Linked DNA regions of Neodiprion lecontei. The protein of the gene in region 2 binds, or shares a complex with, the protein of the main gene of each other region. Links are inferred from orthologs where the notes say so. Each region holds a gene or a part of one and is shown on either strand. Other genes may lie near its edges.

What was found.
Region 1: the proteins of rab3 GTPase-activating protein non-catalytic subunit (region 2) and rab3 GTPase-activating protein catalytic subunit are in contact, whole or in part, in a cryo-EM structure (PDB 8VYB), measured with the Homo sapiens proteins. The link is inferred for Neodiprion lecontei from reciprocal best matches to the Homo sapiens genes RAB3GAP2 and RAB3GAP1. Residues at the interface, in NP_036546.2 of Homo sapiens: Arg197, His198, Pro199, Gly200, Ser276, Pro277, Phe278, Asp279, Met281, Lys282, Ser285, Asn286, Ile287, Gly289, Phe290, Asn291, Ala292, Ile294, Arg377, Phe378, Gly379, Leu380, Pro381, Asp382, Arg385, Cys395, Thr397, Leu398, Arg407, Arg415; in NP_036365.1 of Homo sapiens: Thr19, Ser21, Trp23, Glu24, Glu142, Ser143, Asn146, Leu147, Leu149, Ser150, Ser153, Ile154, Ile169, His170, Trp173, Arg174, Met176, Arg187, Asp189, Glu191, Met192, Val193, His194, Leu195, Arg196, Pro199, Tyr202, Ile211, Ser214, Lys215.

Annotation. Positions count from the first base shown.
Region 1 is NC_060261.1:12,355,865-12,369,726, reverse strand, and holds the start of rab3 GTPase-activating protein catalytic subunit, read right to left. Parts: upstream 7,568-13,862; 5' UTR 7,429-7,567; coding exon 7,233-7,428; intron 7,062-7,232; coding exon 6,776-7,061; intron 6,498-6,775; coding exon 6,361-6,497; intron 5,569-6,360; coding exon 5,355-5,568; intron 5,233-5,354; coding exon 4,824-5,232; intron 3,934-4,823; coding exon 3,719-3,933; exon of another isoform or gene 2,541-3,718; coding exon of another isoform or gene 2,254-2,540; intron 2,077-2,253; coding exon of another isoform or gene 1,897-2,076; intron 1,691-1,896; coding exon of another isoform or gene 1,258-1,690; intron 1,187-1,257; coding exon of another isoform or gene 591-1,186; intron 1-590. Other genes in the region: leucine-rich repeat and fibronectin type III domain-containing protein 1-like protein, read left to right, coding at 591-1,186, 1,258-1,690, 1,897-2,076, 2,254-2,540; WD repeat and FYVE domain-containing protein 2, read left to right, coding at 10,770-10,930, 12,100-12,241, 12,630-12,835, 12,945-13,184, 13,473-13,611, 13,690-13,862. UniProt on the Homo sapiens protein: Catalytic subunit of the Rab3 GTPase-activating (Rab3GAP) complex composed of RAB3GAP1 and RAB3GAP2, which has GTPase-activating protein (GAP) activity towards various Rab3 subfamily members (RAB3A, RAB3B, RAB3C and RAB3D), RAB5A and RAB43, and guanine nucleotide exchange factor (GEF) activity towards RAB18.
Region 2 is NC_060262.1:35,768,831-35,786,080, reverse strand, and holds rab3 GTPase-activating protein non-catalytic subunit, read right to left. Parts: upstream 9,860-17,250; 5' UTR 9,789-9,859; coding exon 9,704-9,788; intron 9,580-9,703; coding exon 9,469-9,579; intron 8,580-9,468; coding exon 8,498-8,579; intron 8,417-8,497; coding exon 8,290-8,416; intron 8,175-8,289; coding exon 7,973-8,174; intron 7,900-7,972; coding exon 7,572-7,899; intron 7,418-7,571; coding exon 7,191-7,417; intron 7,032-7,190; coding exon 6,809-7,031; intron 6,532-6,808; coding exon 6,152-6,531; intron 6,067-6,151; coding exon 5,686-6,066; intron 5,607-5,685; coding exon 5,406-5,606; intron 5,321-5,405; coding exon 4,939-5,320; intron 4,806-4,938; coding exon 4,711-4,805; intron 4,632-4,710; coding exon 4,383-4,631; intron 4,315-4,382; coding exon 4,141-4,314; intron 4,012-4,140; coding exon 3,830-4,011; intron 3,689-3,829; coding exon 3,467-3,688; intron 3,385-3,466; coding exon 3,094-3,384; intron 3,015-3,093; coding exon 2,862-3,014; intron 2,732-2,861; and 3 more. Other genes in the region: acylphosphatase-2, read left to right, coding at 498-612; exportin-1, read left to right, coding at 12,243-12,440, 13,208-13,402, 13,494-13,844, 14,257-14,979, 15,175-15,409, 15,540-15,703, 15,958-16,092, 16,197-16,340 and 2 more. UniProt on the Homo sapiens protein: Regulatory subunit of the Rab3 GTPase-activating (Rab3GAP) complex composed of RAB3GAP1 and RAB3GAP2, which has GTPase-activating protein (GAP) activity towards various Rab3 subfamily members (RAB3A, RAB3B, RAB3C and RAB3D), RAB5A and RAB43, and guanine nucleotide exchange factor (GEF) activity towards RAB18.

The DNA.
Region 1 (13,862 bases), on a different chromosome or scaffold from region 2:
CAGTCTCTGCTTTGATTTTCATTCGTAGGGTTATTGTTTCAATATCTTAAAACTGCTATAAGTATTGGTATCCTTTATGCGGGCGTCTTTAGAACAATGTGGCGACGAATCAGGTCATCAGCTGATCGTTTTTGGTCAACTTCATAAGTATCAAAATGCAAAAAACATCGAGAGAAAAACGCAGAGGCCTATTTAGTGTAGTAAATTCACTGCCACAAGATGGCATATACTGAAATTGGAGTTTCCGATATTGTAAGACTGCTTATTACATTTGAAATATTATTAAGCGCAGATTCACCTGTCCTGAATTATTTGCTTCATATTCAATGGTGTTAAAATTGTTTTGGTACAAGCAGAGACGTTCTATAATCTGCTGAGACTATGTGAAAACCGACAACTATTAGAAAAACGTTGAGTTGTTAGCATATCAACTCTGGTGGAAACCTTTCCGAAATGCGATGAAACGCTCTAAAATTTCTCTAAAATCATAATATTTGAATGAAATTTCTTTGCAGTTTATGAACGAAAACTTTCTACCAGAAATACTCTGTGTGTCGAATATCAAGTATTTATAGAGATAACAATTTTAGAACTGGTCTGCCCTACTGGAGTGATTGCCGTTGGCACGGTAGAAAGTGTGGATACAAAAGATATCGTAGGTGATGTGGAAGAAGACACAGTAGAAGCAGTCTTGCCACCAACTCGTACGTCGACAACTAGTACTCAACGGCCATCAACTGCACCCCCATCATCGTCATCATCCAGTACACATCGTTCGGTTGTTAATTTGGAAAAGATCACAGAAGACCCAGTTGTTTCTACAACAACATTGCGGACAACCAGCAGACCCTCCATGAGTAGAACCGGCAACGTTGTCATAACCAGAACGACAATATCGCCTCTGAAGCATCAGCAAGATCACAGTATCTTACAACAACACCAGCCCAAACCGCCACTCGTCCTCGGATCCCCTATTTACAAAATGACTAGGGGATCCGACAAGGGGATCATCGTCAAAGACGTTTTGAGGCAGGATAACACAGTCATCATCTACTGGGATACTGAAGGCCTGAACAGTATTGGATTCAAAGTAATTTACCGTCTCTTTGGTGAGACTAGTTTCAAGTCCGGTCCACCGCTTGGCAACAATGAGCGTGAATTTAAAATAAAGAATGTTCCCGCTCAGGTAAAAATGTGACATTCAACCGTCTACAATGTTTAAATCGTGTAATTCACGTATTCAGATCTTGATTTCAGGAGTGCATGATAGTCTGCGTTGTTTCGTCGGAAGAGACAGACATGAGCCCTGCGAATGTTCCGTATAACCAATGCAAGGAAGTGAGGACAGAGAATTCGCCGACCTCAAACATGGACAAAATAACGATTGCAGCCAGCGCTGCAATCTGTGCGACAATCGTCGTTGCCGTCGTGATCTTCGTCGTCGCGAATCGACGAAGAGCCAGGAAATTGCACACCCTCCATAATCTGGATCAAAATAAAATGGGTGGACCTATCGCAGGCTTACCGGTCAATTGTTGTTCAGGTATTGGGCCAACTCCAAGCCCGGGTGGACCGTTGTCTTCATTGGCGACTTTGAGCGCATTCAACAATCAAAAGGACTGGGACCAAGTATCAGCCTACAGCACTAGGAGCATCCCTAGGCCAAGAGTTTTCCCAATGGAACGCCAAGGTTGTATGATTTGCTCGATATTTTAAGCCAAGAAAACGATCCTAAGTTTCAGCACAACCCACGATCCAGAGGCATGATACTTTCTCTGTGAAGTCAAGTTATCACACTCTGATAATTATGGCTCGTCTGTACACTCAAATTGATGGAACGGTCGATTTTGATTCCATTCATTGGGATATTAATAATCTTCATTCGTTTCCTAATAGGTTCGATAAACAGAGCTGCATGTATCGATGAAATGAGGCCGCAAAGTCAACATTTTGGTGTCGGAAAAGTCTCGACTCGGTCAATTGCTGACGGACAGTCACAGCATAGTTTTTCGAACAATTCGACACGATATTTCGGGTCAAATCCCGTACCATCGAATCTTATCAGTTCACGACCAGGTGAGTTCAAAGTTCCACGCTTCACATTTTTCCTCCGATGAAAATTTGTTTGCTCCAAATGTCACGAAAATTTTGTGATTCAGAGTTCTGTTTATGGCATTTTATAAAAAAATTTACACCAGGATCAGTATCCATCACTTATAGGCTTTTTTGTCAATAATTCTGCTTATAATTCAGAATTGCGGCAGTCACGCCAGTCTCTCGCAGCGGCGTCGGACAGGCTTTCACGGGCCAGCTTCCCGACCAACCAGGCCCATCAGCCGCACACATCAGCTAGGCGACAGCGTCCGAGATCGCGTAATCGCACATTAGAACAAGACCCGCCTCGCCCAGGGAGTAGGTACAGTTTAGCAGACTCAAACCACACTCTGAACAACTACGAGGAAAACAACTGGACGGATCATGACATGGATATTTATATGGCGCGAAACCCAACAACGAGGGGTGGTCTTGTACCATTATGATCTTAATGTGTATTCTTCATCATTCTGCTCAACCATGTTAGAGAACCAATGGGCCCCACTATCTGAATCAAAAGTTTGGAAAAGAATATAAATCCTTTGACAAATTTCCAGTAATATTATTTGTACCGATGATAGTGCCCTACTATGTAATAGCAGTGAATCTGAATAAATTCCAGTATCATAAGCTACGATGTCATCAACAATTTGTAAAAACTACTTTTAATTGAATAATTCAAAATCATTACATTTTGGTGTTTTAGATCCAATTCTAATGTTTTCAGGCTCATTATGTTCACTATAGAGGCTTTCAAAGATCACCTTAACAAAATTTTACAGACAGTTATCTCCAGATTGGATAAAGAATATATTTCTGTAAGTACGGTGCAAAGAATGTTAGTCAACAATTAGATTTTCACGTTATAACTATACTATGACATAAAATCGCTCGAGAATTTTCCAGGGTGTCTGATTAGTGAGTAAAATAAGCCCATATTAGAACCGATTCAAAAACACTAAATTCAAACGTTCTAATTATAAAATTTGTTCTCAAATTGATGATATCTGAATTTGTATTATTCAAAGTCGCACAGATTTATTTCTATCACATAATAGGAGAGCAGTTTTAATCGCATTCACTATCATTGGCACAAATAACATTTCTGTAATTTTTTTCAACAATTTCTTCCTTTTTCCCAACTTTCGATTTTGGGTCCATAAATTCTTGAAATCGTTTAGCGTAAGTCAACTAAAAGTAGCTAGGTATTAATGTATCATACTATACCGCTTAAGTTCGATTAAAAAAAAATTAGGTGTTGAAAATGTTTTTACAAAAATAATGCTGCCAGACAGTTTTTACGTTTTTTTGAAGATAAATTAATGGTAAAACTGTCCTCACCACATTTTGTGTTGCGACAGGAATCGTTGATTATGTAGTACAAGAAAAGAAATCAAAGAAAAGAAACTTTGTTGACGATATAGAGACAGTTTCCCAGATAATTAACTTGACTAAAGGTAATTAATCAGGCTAACATAAACGTGACTTGTAAAGGGAATGTTTAAAAAAAAGTCTAGGCATACGCACATGGAGAATATTATCAATTCAATTCTAGAAACAATGCAGTACTGCAGGCTTCAACCGTTTGATGATGCACACTAATGAAAACTAACTTTCTACTTACCCTGGAATGAGGATATTTCTTTCCCAGCGAAATCTAATCTCTTGAACAAACTCGTGCCACAGATGCGCCAAAGCTGGTGCTCCACCAAGGTTGTGTGCACAATGAGCAGCGACAATAGACAACCGCCACACAAGACTGTCTACTGCAGCAGTTTTTACACCTTTCCACTGGTCATCTTCGACATTATATGCATTTGCATTGGCATACGGTTGTTTCTGAAATTGTAAAACGTAAAGACTGTTATGATCATCGCGATAAATCAAATGTTTGTTTTGGTAAAAATTATTTTCAATAACGTTTAGAAATCTTGACAAATTTAGTAACAACGTGAATTTCCGACTGTTTCTCACTTTTTTTCTGTAAAATCTCTTTATAGAAAATCCTTGATATTTGTTGCAATCTCTTGAAAAAATTTCATAAACTAGTCTTATTGCAAATATTCTTTTCACAAATATATGTCTAGATATTTTCAAGTACATTTTAGAATTATTATATAATAATAATTTCAGAATAATTTCAACTGCTTCCTCAAAATTTTTAATTTTTCTCCAAAACCCATCCCAATTTTCCGTAACGCGGTTCCGTCGGAAAATACGCAGTAATACTAGAACTCTGAATTTTCAGTTTTATGATACAAAACAAAGTTCTGACAAAATAGCAATTTTCAATAAAAATTCAATTTTAATTTCGAACATGACCTGATCAGAAATAGCCATATATAGTAAAACTCGGAGTTTTTAAATTTGTCAATATAAAAATGTTGAAAACGCATCTGTAAGTTGTTTTGAGAAACCCATCCGATTTTATACCTCAAACTTGATTTGGTCAAAAATAGTCAAAAACTTAATAACTCGGATTTTTCCACATTGCTGGTAGAAAATGAAGTTCCTATCAAATATTAGTTCTTCCAAAAATTTTCTAGACTTTTGTGGATTCCCTCACATGTTATCAGAGTAATTTAAACTTTTCCAGTAGAGGTAATGCTGTTTCTCAGAACTATTCAAAAACATTGAATATTTCTGAAAAATTTTTACAAAAGGTCGTGTCAAATTTCTGAGAGTTATTTTCACCCCTGCTGTCACTGTAGAGAACCATTAATGCTCACCGGGTTATCTTCAGCATCTGGAAACAAGAAGTAAAGTATTGGTAAGAGTATATCTTCCGAAATTGGACCCTCAACTGGTTTTGTCTTCTTGATTGCCGCCTTGCTAACGACTGTTGAAAGTGCCGGTACTCTAGACTCCGTTAACGCATTGAAAGCGGAGCTCAAATTTTGACCATCACCTTCAGTATAACTTACAAAATCACCTAGCAATTCAAACAACGTCTTCTGGTTAGAACACAAGTGTATAAAGTCTATCAAATATTCGCCAAGCAAACAGGCTGGGGATGACGTCATTTTCACTTGAACAGACCATTCTGGGGCTTGTTGCGGCTCTAGATCTGTATAACTTTCACTATCCACTACAACATTTTCGGGCATCTCTGGCCAAGTTGTGAAAAGGATTAGCTCTCTGAAAATGACACGAATGGGTATATTCAACATCAATCTATCATGATTCAATTGTTCCTTGCTTTGGAAGTGTATTATTGACTGAGTAAATTATAATTCCAATACATAAATGTACACTCTCACCCGACTGGATCAAATGTAGCGCCAAACGGAAGCTTGCCAAGTTCCGCGACTCCGAGTGTTTCACCATGCATGAAATCAAAATCTGGTGGATCCTGTGTCCATGTACTGCTGGTCCAATCTTTGAGCAAATATGTAAAACGAGCAGAGACCATAGCAGGGTCCAAACGGATCCCACATCCCTCAGTAATTTTTTGTTTGAACAGTGTTAGTAAGCCTGTAATCAATAATTTGAAAAAACAAATACTGCTATTCAGCTATAAATTACTTCCCAAGTCATATTGCATCATTGAAAATAACTTGTTGTGAAAAATTTTGACTATTAAATATGGAATTATGAAGGATATCAGTCACATGTTGTTAAAAAATGTCATGGCTGACTCTAGGATTCAACATTTGGTTGTGGTGAAGCAATGTGGTGTCGAAGCAGTAATCAGCTGATTGTTTTAGGTTCATTTTACAATTGTTAGAGAACTAAAAAGTTTGTGCAAGTCGTTGTGCGTCTAGTTTATCCCATTTAGTTGATTCATGCTTAAAAATGAGAAAAAAATAGATTTATATGATTAAATGTGACTCTTTTCTAGCAGCAGTAGTAGGAGAGACTGCGGTAAAGTGGGTTGGTTACAAATTTTAGAATTTTTTTTTTCACATACTAAGAAGGTCCAAAAAAATACTTGTCGACAGTAAAGTGAAATAGTTGCGTTACCTATAGTTAACCAGCAATAGAAATATGACATACTAACAACCATAATAATTTTTCTTTCTCAAGTGGCCCACTTGGACGCATCTCTATCCTATATTATTTTGCCACAGTGTTAAATCCCAATCAAGCATGCAAGTACCATAAAAAAAGTAGTATATACACGGTCATATATTCGTTGCTAAACATAGATTCCGGGTGAGAGAGATCCACTTATGCAGACGCCAGGTAGAACAGTTGCGTCAGTTGCATTAGTATTCAGCAACGAATAAATAACCCTCTAGGTGACGTCACACTGATGAGACTAACCATTGAGGAATTTACAGTATGGAGGAACTTTCTTCAAGTGCACCATATCGAAATGGCTGCAGACTCCACGCCCCTCACTCACGCCTAGGTAAAATGATTGCCAAGGTTCTTGAACTTGTACAAACATAGGAACTTCGCTGCAAATACCATACGTTAAATTAAAGATACCCGAACAATATTCGACTGAGCTACCTTATATAGTGCAAAAGACATTGCCATTCACATTTTCTGTATGTCATTACATTTCACATCACAACTATTTGCATTACTTGTACATTCTGGGTGTAATATGCATCTCACCCTATTACAATTGATATATTGTTATTACATCTTCCAGATAATCAAGAATACAGAAATTGTTTTGGCGTGCCTCATTGCTTCTGCATGCATTGCAGTCTTTTCCCAATATACGAACCAATTTGAATTATTCGATGCAATTGTAATTGAACTGAGAAGGATTTTGATGCGAGTCTCATCAGTTATCGCAACTTCTTTGGCAGGACTAAGTATGATGAACTCTCTTATTCCATAATATTTTGCTAGATTTAGATGTTCCTGATCTAACGATGCAAAATCGTTCGTAGAATTCAGGGCATCCATTAGACATTGACTTCTCTTATCCTCACATTCTTCTATGGAACTTTGAATCGCTTCGTCACTTGGAGTTATCAAGTTGATATGTTTGAGAGAAAATTCTACATCTGAAAAAATGAATCACCAAAAAAGCTGATGCATTATTGCTAGTGTTGATGGAAGAAAAACAATGGCACAGAGTCATCTAGCGATAAAACGAATTTGTGTGGTATGTTTTTCATTGCAATTGCCAATCCAAAAAAATTGTTTAGAAAGAAATAACCTGCGCAGTAACTAACCAGCGAAATGTACATTTTCAGATGTTGCTTCCCACGAGAGGTTGATAAAATCTCCCTTTTTCAAAGGTGAACATATTTTGCTGCGGGGTAATTTCCATTCTCGAATTATCTCCTCTAAACGCGCAATAAATACTTCCCACTCGGAAGCTGTGGTGAAGTCGTGATGGTAAGTGTCTTCTATTTCAATATTATTCATATTGCAGCTATTCAAAGCTTCACATTCGGTTTGATACTTCAAAATTTCTAAACGTCAAATTTATAGCAGAAGACAGAATATGGAAGAGCGCTCACCGATGGCATATCATAAGACAGTTGGAGCTGAGTCGGTGTTAAAAACATGAAGCCTATGCATGAAACGCATTTCTGCGAAATCCCCAGTCGCATTACGAAATCAAGTTGTGAGGGCTAAAACTTCCCTAGGAGTAGGGCAGAGTCGGCAGAGTCCATAAGGTGTTTCCTAGCGGACGCATTTGTCGCGTTCTGCTCAAACCATATTGGGTGCTTTTCATTTACTGACTCAAGTCGACTTGTGTCGCTATTTCTGGTGTATTCCTTCGCCCAGATTGGCCGGTTACACAAGAAATAGCGACACAAGTCGATTTGAGTCAGTAAATGGAAAGCACCCATTTGGCTCTCAACGAATAGATACCATATTAAAAATAAACGACACTATACGTATACATACACGTGACATACACCATGCGCCCAACGCACCATGTGGAGATTTCCACACTTTTATAATGTACGCCGAATGATCTCGAATGCAATTGGTTGAGAATTCAAGATGGCCTTCATGCGGCGCAGAGTGCGATTGGTTCTTGACGGTTCTTGACCATGTGAATTGCTCCGAATTCCAATTTGCACTGATCGATTTGATCAGTAATAGTCAAAAAGTATAAAATCGGAGTTTTTTAGATTTTCAATCCAAAAAGTAATTCGGAGAGAATCTGAATTCTTTCCAGAACCTCTTTAGAATTTGAGTCATACCTGAGATATCGCAATAATTCTAAAATTCTCAAGAATTCTCAAGATTCAAGAAAATCTATTCTATTTTGTGACGCTAAATAATTGCTTTTATAATTAGTTTTATTTAGTAAAGTTTATACTTCTTACGGAGTAGCCCTGGTTTCGAAGTCCTTATTATATGAGTACGATTTCGACGCATCGACAAGTTGTGAATTTGTAACTTACGAACGCAACGAATGCTTGAGTAACTTATTTAATTTAAGAAATTTCATAACATGAACAGAGAGATAATCAGACATAAGATTCTTAAATATACCGCATTTTTTTCTTCAATTTTGTAATTTTGTTTATTCTATGTTCGTGATTCTTCTCTTATGTATTGACCAATAGCATCATCTTCTGCAGCAGGAATTATTGAGCTGTCGGTAAAATTCGAATCGGATTTTTCCGTTGTTTGCGATGGAGTCGGTTGATTATGTTTGATGATAATTTTCCATCTTAAAGTCGCTCCAGTCTTGTCCGCTCTCTTCTGATCATCAGAGGCGGAGGATGTAGCTGCAGTTGTAGATTCTTCGTTATCCGGTTCACGTAAATCTGTGTAATTTTTTGGCCGATTTGTGAAAGAAGATTCCGCTATTGGCTTAGTTGAACACTCATCAGGTGAAATATAGTGCACCTTAAACTGGGAATTCTTGATAGTAGATTTACCATTGGGATGTTGATCATTTTCTGAGAATTTATTCTGGTGATAAGTTGATTCACACTGTAATCCCTCCTTTCGTGCCTTTGAGGATTTTTTAAGGTGAGGAATGCAGGATGCGCTGCCTATTTTACGGGAAATGAGTGAACTGGCTTTGTTAATATTTTCATCCCGAGAAGGAATTTCTTCGTCAGCAAGAACGGTAGATATTTCTTTCGAAGTATTTGAAACTGTGATGTACGCATTACTTTCGTGTTTACTTCTCTCTTTTCCTTTTTTCGATCTTACGCTGGAACTCCTTTTGGTAGATCCAATTTCTGATATATTTTCAGCTAACGATCGTTTGCTTCGGGGTGGATTTAATGGTTGTGGATCTTTTGGCGGTCTTTCGGTCATTTTCAAGTCTGGATGTAGAGCTGAAAATTGATTCAAATAATCATTCTCTTCTTCTTTTCTAATTCGCGAAGACACGTTTCCGAAGTAATTTGAGGGACCAGCCTGCAAAGTGTCCTCATCCAACAGGTCTTCATCTCTGTTAAATCTCAAATTTTTGTTCGATGGTCTATTTGACAAATCGCCTCGTACTTTGTTTTTCAGGAAGTATAACGATGATCCCACTTCTGTCATTGCTGAATAGACTTGCTTTTCTCTCATCTCTTTACCAGCTAAGGGAGCATGTGTTACTTCTTTATGATTTTTTTCGTCGACGAATTCCTGATAATCTTCTGCCGTTGCATACAATGACAGAGGTACTCTTTTAATTACAAGTTTCTCAACAATGTAATCGCATTCGTTTGGGTTATATTCCTTCAAAGTCAACCTTCTCTCCCGCTTATGTCTTCGGCAGCAACTTAAAATTGAAGCCCAATTAGTGGATCCATGACTGGAGCATGAAATATCGTCGAATATTCTACTCCGTTTTGTGTTGCTGGCTGAGAACGTAGATTCCAGTTCTTTAACTTTTTTTGCGCTCATAATAGTAGATCAAACGCTAAAGATTACATCACCGTCACTGCAGATTGTAACATACCTAATCAGACTTATAATTGCCATTGTACGTAATCATCTCGGTTTTTATTACGAGGCCAACTATGATGCAGCTCATCACGCCGGCGTGGCGAACAGAATTATTAGATTAGAATATGTGTTGTAAAGAAACTAAATCTCAAATATCGGTTATCAAAATTTGGCGCGTAAATTGGTAATCAAACAAAATGTCACTAGGCGAATATGGTATTCTGAAATGCCGAAAATAGCTGATAACACGGAAAATTCTCTAGGAGTGAGATACAGCGGATACAGCATGGAGACTAGGCTAAAGAAGTCCCATCTCTGTACATACATTTGATCCGGCATCAAAAATCCATACACTAAGGTTTGCGCTGGCTGACGCTGAACAGCACTGAAATCGCAAATATCCAACGAATGGTGAAAAGACAGAAGTAATTTCATTTTAGTCACGATCGATGTATGTATATAGTCAATTCTTATCAACTTCACCTCGGAATATTACAATGACAGCGCTGTTCTTAATGAAATCTAAAACCACTAAACGACAAATTTTCGAGGACAAATTTTTCGCATGCTCCTCCATTAGAGATGGGTCTCCTTTTTACTCTAGTCTCCCTGGGGTACAGCCTTAGAATGCTCTGAGGGTACAGCATCAAAATACTACATGCTTCATGGAGTAAGAAAGGGAACATTATTGGAAGTGCTGCCAACTAAACCAGCGTACTGATTCATTTTACGAACCATCGGCAGGCTTGAAGGTCTTAAGATATTCTTAAATCCGCGATTGTAGGAACTGTCGAAGTCTGACAACTGTCAAATGATAATCATACAGGCGAGGTTACGACATTAAAAAAATTGAAATGGCAGCTGAAATTAAACCAGCACCGGGTGTAAACAACGAAAGATTTAGTACGACTCGAAAACCAATTCTATTATCGAAGCTAGAAGGTTGTAATGACGACGTGAATGGGGCGATAATCATACCCCGAGAAGACGGTGTTATCAGTATTTGCGATGACAGGTATGCCCCTTCAACCCCAAATATTACGCATTAATTATTCCGCATTGTACTGTACAGTTCAATCTGCTTCCGCACTGTATAATCGAAAATCTTGTAAGTGAAGATTCGAGTCTTTCCAGTCTTGATCTACATTATTCGTATTTCGAATGTATCAAGAAAAATTCGACTTTATCTGTACTTCAGCCTTTTCACATTCTTACTTACGTTTTCTCGAGTTGCCACATACAAATATTGTTAGGGTAGAGACATTTGCGCGTTCGACCAGTTCATTAAAGGCAAATAGTTGAGTCGCGTACGACCGTATTTTTTGTGTCCCTAAATAGCGTCATGTCAAATACGTCCCTGTTTGTTCAATAATAATGATCAAATCATGAAATAACGCTGGTGACTAAATTACTCGTATAAATAACTGGCTACATGAGACCTTTGTTCGTCTACTGGCGCGTTACGGCTCTGCCGAATTTGAAAATATGGACATCCTAACCTCTGACTAATCACAGAAAAATTACTTTTAATCTTGCATAGCTTATTAAGGAAACTAGTAACCCGATGATTTGTTACTATATTTTGAATCATCACAAACTTGAGAATACACCGCTTGTTTTTGATCAAATTCTGTGGTTAAGAAATACCTTTATTTTGCCAACAAAGCCTTTCAAAGCAATTCTTCCTTGTGTCCAAAACTCGATTTTCCATCCTTTTTTTCCCTCTTAGGTTGATATTCTGTTCTGTAATTTTAGTGTATGAAAAAACATACTCTTCAACTTTGTTTACAAATTGTTATAAATCTTTGTTGTAAATTTTTTTTCTCATGTTTTGTGTCTTACCAGGAGCTACCTTAATATACGGCAATCCTGAGTGAAAATCATCGTTTTACAATGACAATTGCCTTGCATGAAAAAAAAAATAACTAAACACCATTTAATATAACAATAAGAATTAATGTAAAGCTTTTTTCGACTCACATAATCCAAAAGAATTTCAATTCATTGAATTTAATTACAGCTAAATAATCGTTACTTTGTCAATTTTTATTTTGAACACCAATTTTATTTTTGTCTCTAAATTGAATAATATTCTTCTATAGCAATTCCATTGATGTCCTTTTTCATTCAAAAATATTGTTTATTGGATGTAATTATTTTTCCTAATTTTCGATTTCTGTGCAGGACCGTCAGAGTATGGCTAAAACGCGATTCAGGGCAATATTGGCCCAGCGTATGCCAATACATGGGTGCTGCTGCAACGGCAATGCATTATTGCGCAGAAACGAGACAGCTTTTTGTCGGCTTAGAAAACGGAGCTATTAACGTATGTAATTGAATTCCACAAACAATATGAACTCTATAAAAGTTTTCTCAACTAAACTGTCCAATCAGTTTATCTTCCAGAAAATATTGAATTAGTTCTGACGCTTAAATTTCATGGTATTTTCATGAAGAAGAATGAAATTCAAAAGAAAAACCTCAGATATTTAATACTTTAATCGATATCCTTGTGTCGCTTATTACAGTCCTTAAAATTATGGTGAAACATTGTTTCTAAAGTGATTTATACTCACAAAATAGAACAGAACTGAAATTCTTTAAAAGAATTTATTTATCAACTACGTGAAAATACCTTGAATACCAGGATTGTCTTGTGTTGTTTATTCCCTGGAATCCCAAGTTTGGGAATGAATTGTTCATATTCTTCAAAGGATTTTATATTGGAAACTGACTACAACCGCATGACTCCAATGAGAGAGTGCCTTTCTCATCAAGGTCGAGTTACTGGAATTATATTCGCTTTGAATTGTGAATGGGTACTCAGTATCGGCCGAGATAAGCTTTTTCAATTTCACTGCTCAGAAACCGGACATAGGCTTGGTTCTTTTCAAACAGATGCTTGGTTCACGGCATTGCAGTATCCTTTTGCATTGATTTTTTGATTATAAAGAACACGCGAATCGATTAAAATAAATTTGATCGGCAGTGCTCGAAGATCTGATGCAAAAACCTTGACGTAATCACAGATTTGCATCATTGACCAAACATGCTTTTGTCGGAGATTATTCGGGACAGATATCGATGCTCAAATTGGAGAGCACTGGTGCTACTCTAATCACCACTCTGAAAGGTCATACAGGAAGTATCCGCACGCTCGCCTGGAATTCTGAAAAAGATCTGTTATTTTCTGGGAGCTTTGACCAAAGTGTTATTGTTTGGGACATCGGAGGTTGCCAAGGCACTGCGTACGAACTTCAGGGGCATCAGTATGTATTTTTTGTCAAACCAAATTATGCAGATCACAAAGATTATGAAATCACTGAAATTCTGTGAAATATTTGAAATTCCTGAAATATTGTGAAAATTGATGAAATCATTTGATATCTCCAAAATCTCTGAAAACGTATCAAATTTACCAAACTCGTCAAGTATTCGTTATTGATTAGATAAAGTTATTGTTTTTTCATTCCTTCAAAACGTCCTCTCTCTCTCAAGTGATTATTCACTCTTCTCTTGATAATAGTAGGGTAATGAAATGACTTGTTTTCCTTTAGCAATAAGGTAACAGCTTTGTGCTATGCAAGTGCAGAGCGCTTACTTCTTTCTGGCGGTGAAGACGGAGTGATAGTTGTCTGGGACATGTCCGCCAACAGGAAAGAAACTCCGGTTTGGGTTGAGTCTGACACATGCCAGGTAATAAAGTGTTGAATCCCCCTCATCATTGCACATTGTAATATTTTATGCATAGGAGTGATTCATTGCTACTTCCAGTCTTGCGGACGACCTTTCTTCTGGAATATCAAAGCTATGATGGATCAAAGACAACTTGGATTGAGGCAGCATCATTGCCGCCACTGTGGTCGTGCGCTTTGTGCTCGTTGCACAACTCAACGCATACCTATTCCTACCATGGGTTTTGAGTTTGAAGTACGAGTGTGTGATCC
Region 2 (17,250 bases):
GAATAATTTTTCTGCCTTCAAAGTACACAATAAACTGGAATGGCGATATTTTGTGTTAACAGCTGTTATTCTCGGTACTTTGTAGCGAAACGTTACGTTGCTAATAGGAAAAATGTTTGGCTCGTGCGTCATTGGAAATTTGCCAAATGACACGGCGACGACGATGCCTCGGAAAGATTTTTAATTAAAATAAATTCGTGGTGTCAAAATGACCGCACCAATTGCGCACTGTGGAGACTTACAACACTTGACACGCAATAGAAAACAAATCTTGATTGACGCGTACGCTAAAGGCTCACGCTTAATTATAGTAACAGCCCAGATAAGTGAAACGATTAAAGAGAACGATTGTGTAACATACCGCAAGTTTGTTTCTTTTTTTTTTCCCCTTTTTTCAACAAGTTCAGATTTTTTGCAGATATTATGAAAAACCTGTCTGATTACCAATTCTACTCACGATTACTACGGAAAATGAATTTTTTTTTTTTGTTTATTAGGGCGGAGTGGCTGTCGACGGTGGGCAGTCCTGGGAGTGAAATTCATCATTGCGAATTCACGAACTGGGAGAATGTGGCACGACCGCAATTTCAGGGATTTGTAATTCGGTTTTAATTTTAAGCAAGAAATGTAAAATCAGGGTGATGGGTAAAATGAATCCGAAAATTCATTTCATATTTATATACTTCCAGTTGTTGTGAAAATAACACCTTTTGAAAAAAATTGTTGAATGAAAAAAGCGTCGAGCATAATGAGATCGATGCGTGAAAAATCAAAAACAATATTGCATTTTTCAAAACAAGGCACAAAAAAAAAAAATACTTGCCATGTGAAAAAAATGTTTCTCGGCTCTAAAATTTGGCAAATGAATCGGAAGTTTGATTAATGAAACAGTCAAAGATATAATTCTAAGTTCATATCAATGTCCCATTTTGTTATGAGTATTCTATGGAAAAAAACACCGGTGATCTTATAGCAAGAGTCATTGTACTCTTGTTTTAGTTTCCCATTTTAGAAATTTAAACACCAGGATTATAGGGGTAAAAGAATTGAAATGTATCGACCACAGAGGCTATTTTGTATAAATGATACCTCTGGTGTATACATCTCTGATGTCTCTCAGGTTTGGATTATATTTAATATTTAATTATACATGCACGAATGCCGAGAATGTGTGAGAGTATGCCATAATTATACTATTTTATTTATAACTCGTTGAAGCTGTACAGTAGTACTTAAAAGTTCAAAAATCTTTGGACTAGTTTTAAAGAGAGTGGAATATTTGAATCATAAGAATTACCAACTAGATATGACAGACTTTTAGTGAAGATTCTCTTACTTTTATTGAATTACTTTGAACTAACAACTAGTGAATATTGTTTAGCTGGTCAATGATTCCTATTTGTATAGACTAGTAATCTTAAATCGTTAAGTTAAGTACCAAAGAAAGAATATGTGGAAGAAAGATGTAAAAAATAAACGTTGAAAATTTTCGTCACATCGTTCATTGTAATATATATCACCTGGAATCTGAGACGAAAATGTGACGGCAAATAATATGTTTCAGTAGAGTGAGAAATTTTCAGTTAACGTCCCGTCATACCGTAGAAACACAATGAACAAAAACTGTTACTCCTGCAAAGCACTGCGGAGGGAAATATTTATTGTACACTGATGGCACGCGAAAAAGAACACGATACCAGGACATGGCGGCAAGCCAATATATATATGAGATCTTATATACATGGCTACATTGGGATGGTTATACAAAAATTCTGAAAAGTCGAGCAAGGAATATATCCAGATTTTTTTATTTTGTACAAAGTTATACACATTACACGTACTGGTATCATTATTTAAATACAAGTAAGACAATAGTATTTACAGTAATAGGTTTCACGTGATGAATTCAAATAGTTAACGTGTTATTTAGTAATCAGTATAATTTTATTTAACATCATTATCTGAAAACAATTATTGAATTATCTATCTAGATGTAATTAACCATTGATGACGAATATGTTAAAAACAGTCATTCAAAATGCTCAATGATAAATCACATAATGCTATTTTCAATTCGAATTGAAAACATGATTGATAGATATAATTGACGAAAACAATTATCGGTTGCGATATTTTGGCTTTGATGTATGGCATTTAGTGAACAGTTTGCATCCACTGTTTCTAAACGAGTATGTAAAGTATGTAATATTATAATTCAAATGATAATAACAAGGTAATAACTTTTATCCATTACGCATTCCCTTATTTCGAAATTTTTCATAAATTAATAATATAAACTAAAATTTTTGGTCATGCATACTTCGACTGCGATTTAGATAATTTATCATTTTTTAAGGAATGTTTTGCTGAACTAATGATATTTGTAACATCTCAAATTTGTGTATTTCACTGAATTGTCAAGACAGCTTTGAAAGGATCATCTTAATTCATTTTGCTAATCATTTACAATTCATGATCAACAGAATCATGCAAAAAACGTGACATTTTCTACCGTTTTTCATTCTGGGTTCACGTCTGTGATTTTAATACTTTGTTGACAGAAGTAAAGACTGGCTCATCACGTTTTACCTTCATAAATAAACGTAGCATCAAGCATCAGTTGCGCGATGTGATAATTAGGATATGTTTCAGGTAAAGTCCTTGAAACCCTTTGAATAAGTTCTATGGTATCGCTATTTGAACAACTTGTATATGCTGCGCTTGGATTACACTAAAACAGAGTAATTGCACATGTTCATTTCATTTGATTTAATGAGACATCTTCATTTTACAATATAATAAACCAGGATGGAATCAATCACATTTGAGTCTCAATAATGTATGTCGTTAATTCAACTTACCAAGCCCTCGAGATATGTAGTTAGCGTAGGACTTATTCTTGATATTTCTTCCAGAAGATCTGGCGTTTTGGATAGGTAAGCCATCATTCTTCTTCCAGCTATAGGTAACAAATTAATTGCAAGTCCCTCCGTGTCATTTACCGCCGTAAGGATCTAATATTTAATTATATAATAGTAAACAGTCGTGTAAGCTTGAAGATTTTGTGTGACTAGTTTATTTCTCAGTTCTCACCTCTTCAGCCAATCGGTCAAATCCGTTAATATATAATTGACAAACTTGGTGAATTCTCAGCTCATCGTTATTTATTTTCCATATAGAAGCTAGTGTTTGACACTTGCTCATCCACGTAATAGCTTGCGTAGAGCTAAAGTTGTTTTCTTCCGTCGTTTCTTGATGAATCGAGTCCATAGTGGCAGTGATTACACGACAAAGAAACTCGGTTCTTGCACTATCGCGTTTTTCATCTCGAAACCACGTCAGCAATGCTTTGTTGGTGATGTCTTGGAAAAAATATGGATGCGACTGTAAAAGTGAGAAATTCCGTGAATGTAAAAGTATCATTGTCCCGATGTTTCTGTACATAGACGGTTTTTTAAATACCCACCACAGAGTCGAAAAGAATGTTCAAAGGCTTTTGTACTTTCAGATTAAAGTAAGCCATCATGTGCAAGACGTTAGCCAATTGCAGATGTAGCATCACGAGTTCATACCAAGCAGGAGTTTGAGAAAGTGCTAGAGCTGCGAAGGGTTGCGGACCTATGGGATGACTTTCCCAAATTTCTTCTGATTTTATAATCGAACTATTCTCAATTTCCATCACTTCTGCCTGAAAGTGAAGCGATTAAGAAAAATTCTGTTCTCTTATGCAGTATTCAATTGGAGCTTGATTCAAGATCTTTTTGTGTAATTCATGGCTTCAAACTTTCGTGACTCTTACACAATGTGGTGAATGATATAGGATACTTACGTCTAGAAATATATCCAAGAACATAACACAGAGTTGTAGTAGTGTAATTAGTTGCATATCAGAAACACCAACGTCCTGTAAACAATATCTTTCTTTTGGCAACTTTCCCGACTTGTTCATCAGTTTTGCTGCCGCCTCCATCCTTTTTTTCATGTGCAGTGTCCAAAGAAGGCAGCAAACTCCTATCAAACAAAACAACAGAATGAAAGATATGAAATATTAAGCAAAATGTACGACAGTCTGACGTATATATCATTTGGTTCTTTGTATCCTGGTTGATATATTAGACAAAACAATATTTTATCACAAACCTTGTCGCATTTGCTTCATAGGAATTTGTCTAAGAACAGCTAAAGCTGCTTCAAGCGCATCAAGTTGCGTGACATCCTTATTCCAAGTCATAGTAAATTCCCAACAAAGATTAGCAAGCAAAACACTAGTCGTTAGACTGTACGGGAAAGATTTCTTCAATACAGTTAATTTTTCTGAAATATTGGGACACAGTTTAGTCAATGGGAAGGGAAAACGTAGTGAAATCAGCTATCTTACCTACCTAGAATGTAACTTTGTGCAGTTGAATCTGCTTGCGCTTCACTGCCAAGTTCTACAGAAACGGAGAGAAGTTTCATTTGGTCTTGCTGCGATAGTTCCATTGCTGCAGCTTCATCTAACGATTCTGCTATTTTTAAAGAATCCATTGACAATTGCATTTGATCAAACTCCACATCTGTTGTGTCTATCAAACGAGCTGGATCAATTCCCGTTGAACTAAGCCACTTGGCAACGATTTCTGATACTGAACCTTATGAAGAAGATACAATAATTGAAAAATATAATTTAATTTCGAGTTATAAACAGTTCTGAACGTGTAATGCACATACCTTTGCCTCTGGAGAGAACATAGCCCAAAGAAATATTCATACTTTCAAATGGCAGACTGAAAAATTCTGTTGTGTGGTCTGATGGTGGCTTTTGACTGTAGGTGTGAAATTATTATTCAAAGTTGTGTGAATGATCTATGTCAGGCAGATCTTGGATTAAATATGAGAGTTATTTTCTACAATTGAGGAATAACCATGACAGCACATGAGTTCTATTTGACAACTTACCTGACAATAGCATTTAATATAGCTATATCTTCGAGATTGCTGATAAGGGCTGTAAATTGGCAAGTATCTTTGCTTACATTTTCCCAATCACTTGTTGAACTGGAATTCTCTTCTTCTGGGGTTCTATTAAGCTCTTCATCTAAGTCCTCCATCTTTTCACTAGTATTCCCATTCTCTGCATCTTCATCCTTGTTACCATTACCATCCTTCTGTTCACTGTTGTATGCTGTATCTTTGCTTTTTTCAAGCTTCATTGCCACTGCTCTACAAACCATCGCAGCTGTCAGTGCATTGAACGGATTTGTCGAGTCTGACAATATATTTCGCATTTCTTGCCACCACGAAGATATCTCATTATATTCAACACAAATTTCTTCTACCTCTGAAACATTTTAGAGAACTTGAACTGGTGTTTTACTAATATATTGAATAGCACGGAAATTGAATGCTGTAGCTGCAATATTTACCTATCAGAGAACAAATTGCGTGAAGAAGTTGTTTGAATCGTTTCAATTCGACTTCCAGTGGGGCCCCAGGTTTTTTATGCAACCAATAAATAAGTGCAAATTGCATTAGAATAGCTGGCTGAATGCAACTGTGTAGAGCTACATTCTGCCAATTTGTAATCGGATCATCTGAATACAACCAGCCCTGATACAACAATTGACCTGCAATAATATATAAAATTAATAAAATTATACTCACTTTGAACCTAAGGATCACTAGTGCGCTTCAGCAAAAGCTTACAAATGTTGTGTTTCTTTTCTTCCGGTACGTCTTTTTTTATGCCAATAAAATCTCCTGAACCACCAAATTCAAAGCAAGATAGAAAATCCACAAATGCACTGCCATCTTCTTTGAATAGGACCTTAGTTTGTGATCTACTTTTTGGCTTTTCGAATTCACTCAGCGTCTTTGATAACTTTAAAATACGTCGTATCTCTCTTTCAGATGCTAAAAGAATTCCAGATAACTGTTTACAACTAGGCAAGCTATCTGAAGCGATGGTATTGTACTCAGGAGGTTGATTGAATTGCAGGTAAACAGATTTGTAAAACGCAATAACTCTTTGGAGCCGCGTCGAGGTTTGATAAAGGGATTTGGCAGCTGGTTCAAACTCATCGTCTTCTGGAAATACGATAAATCTTCAATAGTTTATAAATTGATATGTCATTAGTCGTGTTCCTTATACATGCGTCATAAAGCAACTTACTATATTGCGATAGGTTTTCAACAAATACGTCCAATGCTGCTAGTAGTGATTCGGGGGTGATATGCTTGTTGACCATCAACATTTCTACAGCCTGCAGGCGAATTTCGTTCGTTTTGAAATCCATACATGTAGAAGTAACTTCGTTAATTAATTTCTCACTGTCAAACTCTTCCTCCCTTAGAAATGCTTTCAATTTTTTGAGCAGATGTAAGTCTCGAGCCCTTTTTCCATTTTTACTACTCAGAGCGAAGTGAAATGGAACAATCACTTCTTTCAGACCTCCCAAAGGGTCAACAAACACACAAGGATACTGCGCACGGTTTGCAGATGACATCGTCATATCATTTAAACCCAGAAGACCGTAATTTGTGTATAGCAGCCTGCAACGATTTCTTGTAATTTTAGATATATCACAGATAGAATAACATTAGACATATTTTACGAAGGTAAAACAAAAAAAAAAACACTAGGATGGTAATTCTTTCATATTATTGTAATGGTCTACAGAGCAGCTTCGCTTCTTATTCTCCGAACTGTTAGTCTTGTGCGAGATCAGATCTGGAGAACTAATTATGATTGCAAACATTTCAGTAGCTCAACAGTTGTCTATAATTTCGTGAATAGAGGATATAATATGTTAACAGGTGCATTACCTACCGTCCATTTTTACTGGCAGAAAAGGTTGCAATTTTGGGTCCTTGTTGAATTCCCCAAATATCAATTACTCCTTTCTTTGGTGCATAGATAGTCAAAAATAAGGCAATTCGCCGACCGTGAACATTACCACTACTACTGCTACTGCTGCTGCCACGACTTTTGCGAGATCCATTGTTTTTCTCCTCCATAACTTCAATCCACCCACATTGAGCATTCCTATACCCTGGGAATAGAAATAAATATGAATGATGTAGAGATAATGCCCGTAGTGAGTAAAATTAGTATTAATCTCATGTCTATTACTCGGTAAAATTTTGTAAGTCGTCTCATTTTCGAGAACAAATGTTGCATAACAGAATTTGAAGAAGAAATTCAATTATACCTTTCCACATTCTTACAGCAACACCACGTCTGTTATCAACCAACGTAACTCTCCCCATAGCATCTGATACGATAGATAGAGCCCTATTAGGGCTTACGACAATGCAATCCCCTTCTCTCATAATATCGCTCAAACCAAATCTGCAGATCATTGGTTCTGCTGGTTCGCTTATAACTCCTTTGGTCTTTTCTGGCGATGTAGGAGTTTTTTTGTTTCCACGAAACCATCTGAAATATTTTCACAAATTTTTGACAGGGATAATCACTAGGTTATGAAATATCGACACAATGGATGGCTGAATTAATTTATCTTGCCATTTTCGATTGCAATTTTTTTAGTTGCTAAAGTTTATTTAAAATCACATGACAAATAGCTACTTACGGAACAGCAGTTCCTATTGCACTTGCTAATTTGCTAGCCATAGCAATCGCGACGTCAGATAAAACTGGAGCAGCCCCACCTTCCAATGCGTAATGAAAACCAATAAATGGTCTTTTGCCAGTTGCCATAACTAGACTGTGTTGTGGTGCACTAGAGCGATACGCAGCATTATAGCCACCACAAATAGACGCAGACATCAAATGGTCAAAGGTGTCTACGGATGTTGTACCAATGACTTCACTGTCATTTGTGATTCCTTGGTTCTTAAAGCCCCATTTTTTATATGAAAGATTTGCTGCCGGAGGCTTAGCATTGCAATTGGCCTGCACTAGAAGATCAAAAATTGAATGTACCAAACTCATGCCTTCACTATCAATAATACACACATTTAAAATTACTACCTCTAGCCAAGTGGTTTCTGCATGCTCTCAAGGTAGAAAACAGCGGAAACCCTTGCATTATGCAAACTGCACTGTTATACAGTACATGGACCTCTTCGGATAGTCCAGAATCTCCAACATGCCGGGAAGGAGAATGTGATTGACATTTGATTCCCAAAACTGCTTCATTGTGAAGCTGTTCGTCAATCAACAATGCACCAGTCTACAACAATTAATGATTTGGTACGTAATCTGAACAAAAATGACTTATTTGGCTTGTATTATACAAATTGGAAAAAATGCTCTAACATTTCTTTTCATGGATAATTCTGGTTTACCTCTGTATAGAACCTTATAAACCCACTAGAAAATCCAACGGCCATACAGGTCCAATCAGGACCGCTACCAGCACTGGTTTTGCCTAAAGATATAAGAGGTAGACATGCCAGACATGTTATCTGTTCACTGAAACAAAATAAAAGTTGTTGAATAACCCCAATCTGTGGTGGAATATCATTCTAGCCCAACGAAATTAGAAAAACTTACTTCTCCTCATCCGTTACATCTCCACTCCATGTAAGATGAAATTTCATTTTCACATCTCCAGGTTCATGCGAATCCCATTTTGCTGTATTGACAAACAGTGTGTGAAAAATTACAACGTTTACGGAATTAATTGTCGTTATTTGTATGAAATGAACTTTAATGCTTATAGTATAATACAGGCATATCAATCATTGGCTAGTATTAGAAAGATGTTAAAATTTTTGAATACTCAGTATTATTAAGTTTTCTACTATGCCGTGATGAAAAATTGAAAATATTTTAGGTCCAGTAATCGGCACCTTAATCTTGAATTTTAGACGTGATACTAGCAAGATAATGGTTGAAGATGGATCTAAAATTTATGAAGAACTTTACCGAGCTATTTGGCTTCGCAAATTGAATATATTCAGTTCACGTACTAACATTTTGTATATTCTTACTCTATTATTGCAAAAATATATATAGTATGACTTTGTGTCTCTTATGCTTACAAAATTTGTACTATTTAACGTTTTGTCGTTTGACACAGAATAAAGTTATATCTAGCCCAATTGTGGTGTGGAAACAGCTATGCATTTAAAAGGCTCTTGAAAGGCATTTTATTTTGCTTATACCTCTTTTTAATGTAGGGAAAAACTGTTCATATAAGCTCGTAAGCTAGAATGAGTTTGATAGGCTTATTCGAAAACATCACCGCTACTCTATTTGAGCTCTGCGATATAAGCTTGTCAAAAGCGGGGTAAGTTTTATTGAACTAGGAACTATCATCGATTCTGTGGATTTTATTTGTGTGTTTTTAAAAAGTTTATTTCGTATGAAGAATTCTGTGATTCTATCATCGGTAATAAATCAGATGCAGGTCGAGATGATTGTATCGCTCCTTTTGTTGTATAAGAAAGTCATCAAGAGGATGTTGTGGTGATAAGCAAAAACTTGTACTGTTGCTCAATGAGTTTTTGCTGTAAACTTACACGTCAGAATGACCATATTTTTATTCCAAGCAATTGCGAGGACATCCCCTGCTGGTGATAAGGAGATAATAAGATCTTGAAGAGGTAGTTCTTTATCCGGTACATAATCCACTGAAAGATTGGGTATAAATATGTAGATATAGATGGGTGTAACGTACATATTGTTTATTGGATAACCTTAGTGGTTACTGTTATTGATGACAGTTGAGATTTTAATTGAATGGGATTTTCTTACGTTTGGAGCCAGCATCTCTGAGTAAGGAATTCTTGACGTTGGGCAAATCGACCAAATTAGCGATTCCTTTGATTTGGCACGACATTTTCGTGCTGACACTTTATTATAAATATGTTGTTAAATGACTCTCATCTCGAATATGCATGAATATGCAGACTGTAGCGGAATAAAGTTTGATGGAAATTGACTGAAAAGTTAGTAGAATTGTCAGATCATATGACACGATGTTTCTGAGAATGCTAGTATATATTGCGGAATTTCAAATAACGCGTTCTAAGTTCCTTAAAAGAGAGGATAGATGCAGCGTACATTATGTCCGGATAAATTTTGGCGCGCGCCGAATAGAAATAAATACAATTTCGAAATATGATACACTTAAAAACAGAATCCTTCCGTAAATTTTTATTACAAGGTAAAAATGAGCACACGTGTTTCCGTGACGTCATGTGACGTCCACTGACGTCATACTAAACTATCGTTTATGCGATTGAGGATTGGTCGAAATTGGTGTAGCCTACCAATGGTGAACGTTGTTTCTCCGCATTTGTCGCGTAAAATTTTCGGCCATCTTGTTATTATTTTCGAAAATCTTTAGGTTGGGTTTCGCGACGACATAGTTGACGGGTTTGCTCGTATTATCGGTGGAAAAAATCACATGAAATTCGCATGAAACCTGGGGAAAGTAGGTTTGACGTACATCGGCCTCGGTGGGTATATTATTTTAGTGTATTTGATTCTGATAGTGGAAGAGAGAGAAAGTAGAGAGTTGGAGAAATGAGTGAGAAAGAGCGAAACTGCGAGTGTGTGGAACGAGGAGCGAGAAGTGTGTAGCGCGCGGGAATCGTCGACTTGTGTGTTTAGCCCTTTTGTGCTTGTGGTTAATTACTCTGAAACGTAACGACTGGCGAGAGAAAGAAAATAAAACGTCCTTTTTTTTACCCCGGGGACGGGAAGCTGTATGAAAGAGTTTATACGGTAGGTCAAAACCTTCAATCTCAAATCACCTTCGCCCAACGGGCAACGACGCAATGGAAAAACGGCAGCCGGGCTTCCTGGACGACCGAATTTACACTATTTAACCTAACTCCGGTAGTCGTCGTCGAGTCTCATTATGTTAGTATCGTTTCCTCTACTCATCCGATTCCACTCTAAATATTACACTATATTTCAAAATCCGAAATTCACATAACCTTGTTTGCGATTGTCAGATGTAGGTTAGGTCGGTTGTTCGGTCGGTCGCAGTGCGGTGACCTCCCCTGCGGCACGCTTCCTAGCATTTTTGGTTTTTTCCGTTTTTTCGGCACGTGGAGGAATCGGGCTCCTTGAATTCTCAACATTTGTTCGGAAAATTTATTTATCCCCAAATTAATCATGGCACATGATCCCCCCTCCCCTCCCTCCCCTTCCCAACTCTCTTCTGAATAGACAAAGTATACATCAAGCACCATCCCATTATGTATGGCATGAAGTTTAGAATAATGGATGCATCTTTTTTGAAGGTTCTTTGAGATTCAGATTTCAGAATTTCAGTGACTTTTTGGGCATGTTTCCTTAGCAAGATCAATTTCGATGCTATCGGTATCAAAAATTGGATGGAAACTAGGTGCACCAAGCATCGTACTTACAAATTTTTAAATCTTGTATCAGTAAATGAAAATGTTCTTAGATTGAGAGTTGTTGCGTTGAAATTTAATCTAAAAACAAGTAATGTATTGTCCTCATTGAATAAACAAACATACGTGATTACACATGTCGGGGCATGTGCTTAAACTTTGATATCTAATTTTAATTAATCATTGAGAAATCAATTCGAAAGTTAATGATGTTTTCATTATTTTTCTTTTGCTTATTTTGTTCTTAAGCACTTTGGAATCTTTCCATGTAGTCTCATATTTCAATATTATTGAAATTGTAATGATTGAACCGCAAGTGCATCATACTTCATGGCAAATATTGATCAGTTATCAAATTTGCTAACAAACGCTGTTTAAGTGCACACCGAAACAACTTGGGAACAACGTATTCTATAGCGGTCAATGAACATTTTTACATTGTAATTTTTGTTTATTTATTCTATCAAGCTGAAATTACGTTGTCAGACCATATGCTTCCGGATTTATCATAATTCGCAAATTTTCACATATATTCTAAAACCTGAGTTTTTGTGTCTTTCTACACTGCACGAGCTATGCTTAAAAATTATGTTAGGTAAAAAGAAACTCGAAAAAATTAGTCCCTCAGTTGGGCACTTTGTTTTTAGGTACCCATATGTAAATAAGATTGCCTAGGAAATATTGTTTGTTTAGAATGTTATGATTATAAGTTATCAGTATTCATTAAAATTTAGTTACCACAATTCTACTGTTTACATGCAACTGTTAGTCTCTATTTGATCAGCAGCAACCTCTAAACTAAAATATTTACTAGAGTCGTAGTGCAGGCTCATCACTGTTGACGCATTACAAGTAACAATGCAAATAATGATATTTTTTTTGTGTGCAGATTGAGTGTGTGAAAGCAAGGGTAATAAGTGAGTGCAATGGCGACACTTGCAGAGCAAGCGTCCAAGTTATTGGACTTCAACCAAAAGCTGGACATCACGCTCCTGGATAATATAGTCGGATGCATGTATACTGGGGTTGGTGAACAACAGCGTGTTGCTCAGGAAGTGCTAACCACCCTCAAAGAACATCCAGATGCGTGGACACGAGTTGACACCATCTTAGAATACTCACAGGTGAGTTATGCCAATTGTAGAGAAAACTTTGACCATTGAATGAAAAGTGTGAAAATCTTTTTATTCAAGTAATCATTTCATAATCAACAGCCGTCAATGTAGAGAGACATGGTCATGCCTTCCACTAGCATCACCATAAATGATTTGGTTAATTCTGTAACTCTTAGCTGAAAGTTATTCACACCAAATTTAGCACCGTTGCCTTTTTGGTCTATTTGACATCAATTACCAAATAAAAATAATTCCCTTCAATTTTTCATTGTATTGCAACAAAGAAAAATATCAAATTATTATAGTTAGCCATTTAAGTTGGTGATTTCGAAAATTTAAAATTGATTGCGAAATTCTATAGACCAGAAAGTAAGAAGAGTATCAATTTATTTTTTTTGGATAGTTGGAATTTATTTTAGACAAAGAAAAAAGTTCAGCTGCACAGAATTAATAGTTCTCACTAAAGTTAACATTTTGGAATAAGTAAACTTCAGAATAAAAGTGGAAACCTTCAGCATCTAATTTTTTTCAGTGGTTCTAACAATTTGTATAAAATTTCAATCTTGAAACAGTTGAATCAAGATAGAATTAAATTACGAGTTCTGAAAAACCTCAAAACTCTGAAAGTTTAGTATGATCATGTCAATTTCACAGTGATTTAAAAAAAAAAAATGGTCATTATGATGTTCATTTTTCTCTCCGAAATAAAGAATCTTGAATGAACAGAGTATGTGAATGAAACAGGAATGCGTCTAACTTTTTCATTAATTCTTTAGAATCAACAAACAAAGTACTACGCACTACAGATCTTAGAGCAGGTTATCAAGACACGGTGGAAAGTTCTACCAAGGAATCAATGTGAGGGTATTAAAAAGTATATTGTCGGGTTGATCATCAAAACTAGTAGCGACCTGGAAACAATGGAGGCCTCTAAGGTCTACTTAAACAAGCTGAATATGATCCTTGTGCAGGTAATAATTGAAAAAAAATAAAATAAAAGAAAACTGTTTTCTTTGCGGGAATACTTATTATCACTATTTAACACGTGATGCTGATGTTTAGGTTCTAAAACGAGAATGGCCAAAGAACTGGGAATCCTTCATAGGTGACATTGTGGGTGCCAGTAAAACCAACGAAAGCTTATGTCAGAATAATATGGCTATTCTGAAACTTCTCAGCGAAGAAGTGTTTGACTTTTCAAGTGGTCAGATGACGCAGACAAAGGCTAAGCACTTGAAGGATACAATGTGTAGCGAGTTCTCTCAAATATTCCAGCTTTGTCAATTTGTCATGGACAACTCACAGAATGTTCCTCTAGTTGCTGTTACCCTCGAAACTCTTCTCAGATTCCTCAACTGGATTCCACTTGGATACATATTTGAAACCAAGTTGATCAACACCCTAGTTTTCAAGGTAGCCAAATTTTCATGTTCTAACAGAATTTTCAATTTATTGTGCTACGAAAAGTGGCAATTCGTGTTTTATCATAATAAATGTAAGCAAACTTCCCCTTGAAGGAACTTTCCTCAATTCACTTGAAACAATACTGTAACTCGGAATATTATACTCATGATTTAATATGCTTCACTTGGTACATAGCATTTTTATTAATTTTCTAATTTCTAACAGTTGAACATGTTTATGTGAGATGTAACACTCAAAATTTAAATGAAACTCTACTTCAAAGATAAAAATTTCAGAGTAGAAACCCTTTTGAACATTCCAATCCACAATGAAAATTAGAAAAAATGTATCTTTTTCAGTCTCAAAATTTGTTTATTAGCATTTGCAGAACTGGAAAACTAAGTAGTAATTTTGTTTTCAGTTTTTGAACGTGCCGATATTTCGTAATGTTACATTAAAGTGTTTAACTGAAATAGCTGCAGTCACAGTAACAAGCTACGACGAGATGTTTGTGGTTTTGTTCGCTAACACAATGCAGCAATTGGAGCAAATGCTTTCACTTGAAACGAATATCCGTGATGCGTATGCTGTAGGACAGGACCAAGAACAGAATTTCATTCAGAACTTGGCGATGTTTCTGTGCACATATCTAAAAGAACATGGGCCGCTTGTTGAAAAAAAGCAACTGAATGAAACACTTTTAAAAGCTCTTCATTACCTTGTGCTGATTTCCGAAGTCGAAGAAGTTGAGATATTCAAAATATGTTTGGAATATTGGAATGGACTGGCTGCCGATTTGTACAGAGAAAACCCATTCACTACGCCATCGCCTTTGTTCGTAAATAAAAATAATTTAGCCATACCACCACGAAGGCTATTTTATTTCCCTGTGCTGACCAAGGTTCGGTATATTATGATCAGTCGAATGGCTAAGCCTGAAGAAGTATTGGTAGTGGAAAACGAAAATGGCGAAGTCGTCAGAGAATTCATGAAAGATACTGACTCAATCAACCTCTACAAAAACATGAGGGAGACCTTAGTTTATCTAACGCATCTCGACTATGTTGACACAGAGAGAGTTATGACCGAAAAATTACAGAACCAAGTCAATGGTACGGAGTGGTCTTGGAAGAATCTCAATACCGTAAGCTCGAATTTAATAGCATTTATTTTAGACTGTAAGCGCTGAAAGTGCATGTACTATTATGCCAAAAAGTAAATAAATTATGAGTTTGTGCTTTGAATTTTTGGTAACTTAGCATTGTTGATGAGAATCGAATATACTTAACAAGAAATGGATTACGGTATGACAGATGTAACTATTATTTTCCTGGTATAGTTATGCTGGGCAATTGGGAGTATCTCAGGTGCGATGCACGAGGAGGATGAAAAACGATTCTTAGTAACGGTAATCAAGGACTTGCTTGGATTGTGCGAGCAGAAGAAAGGCAAAGATAACAAAGCAATCATTGCAAGTAACATTATGTACGTTGTGGGCCAATATCCAAGATTTTTGAGAGCCCATTGGAAATTTCTGAAGACTGTTGTCAATAAGCTATTCGAATTCATGCATGGTGAGAGATGCATTTTTTATTTTATGTATTAGCTCCGTCTACATGTAACTATTGAGCTTATCCGTTGTAAATACAACTCCACTTCAGTATCTCATTAATGTAATTTTCTATGCCATTTTATCCCCTATAGAAACACACGATGGAGTACAAGATATGGCCTGTGATACTTTTATCAAAATAGCATTGAAGTGCAGAAGACATTTCGTAACTATTCAGGTTGGCGAAGCTATGCCATTTATCGAAGAAATACTGTCTACGATCAGCAGTATTATTTGCGATCTACAAACCCAGCAGGTAATGCCAATCTTTTTACCCACCAGTATATTTGATCAAACCGCCTAAAACGTTGCGTTTTAAATTTTCTGATTTGAGTTTGTTCAAAAAGAAATCTTGATATTATAATTATTCAGGAGATCCGTAACTCGAGTTAGTTCAAGCAAAAATGAAGTATTATTCACTAATGAAATCTTGAATTCACTATTTATTTGAAACAGAACCCCTTAAAACTTGTGTTTCACGGTCGAAATTTTTTTTTTTTTTTTGTACAGGTGCACACGTTTTACGAGGCAGTTGGCTACATGATTAGTGCTCAAGTTGATACATGTGTACAGGAACAGCTTATAGAGAAATATATGCTTTTGCCTAATCAAGTTTGGGATGACATAATTAGTCAAGCATCAAAGGTAATTAGCAAAACTGTCTGTATGATTTATTCAATTGCAGAAGTAGGAAAAGTGAAATAATCTACATAAAATACTAATACTCATCACTTCGGATTTTTTTTTAGAATGTCGATATATTGAAGAATCAAGAAGCTGTCAAGCAGCTTGCTAGCATCCTAAAAACAAACGTTCGAGCTTGCAAAGCTCTCGGACATCCTTACGTCATGCAGCTAGGAAGAATATATTTAGATATGTTAAATGTTTACAAGGTAAGCAATTTTTTTTATTACAAAATTACGAACAAAAAAACTAGAACTAACTGTGGAGTAGCATTGTGAATATGTAATAAGTCGACAATGAATGAAGTTGATAGCCATTTTTGTAATTTTAATAAATTGATATTTTCAAATACTTACAACGTCTATGGTTGATTAAAATTATACATATATGTGTTTCTACAGCTCTCAGTATTGTTATTTTTCTTATCCTACTGAACGTGAATTTAATATTCCAGGTTATGAGTGAAAACATAACTGCAGCAATAGCTTTAAATGGAGAAATGGTTATGAAACAGCCGTTGATCAAAAGTATGAGAGTTGTCAAAAAGGAAACGTTAAAATTAATCTCAGATTGGGTCAGCAGATCAAACGATCATCAAATGGTGAGTTTTTATTTTTTGAAACACTCCTCCCTCATTACTTATTCATAGAAAGCATTTTACGGAGTGACTCAATTTGATTCTTTACTCGTTGTATTCTAAGCCAGAGAGTAGAGTCCAATCTAATTAGTAACATTTTTCAAAGCATATGTTGAATACAACAGTTACTAATCAGTGTAGTGATTTTAATCATTTTTAGATTCTGTGATGTACCTGTGATTAGAGTTGGCATTCATATGAGTATTCTATGTACGCCCTCAGTTCAATTCACTACCTGCCTGGTTCTCTTTATTCAATTCGAAAACTATTCACATATTGACGTTGGCTGTAATAAAAATTTAATAAATTTGTTGAACAGGTTTTGGAAAATTTCATACCTCCATTATTGGACGCAGTCTTGCTTGATTATCAGAAGACAAATGTGCACTGTGCTCGGGAGCCCGAAGTACTGGGTGCAATGGCTACTATTGTCAACAAATTAGAGGCGCACATCACAAGCGAAGTACCCAAAATTTTTGACG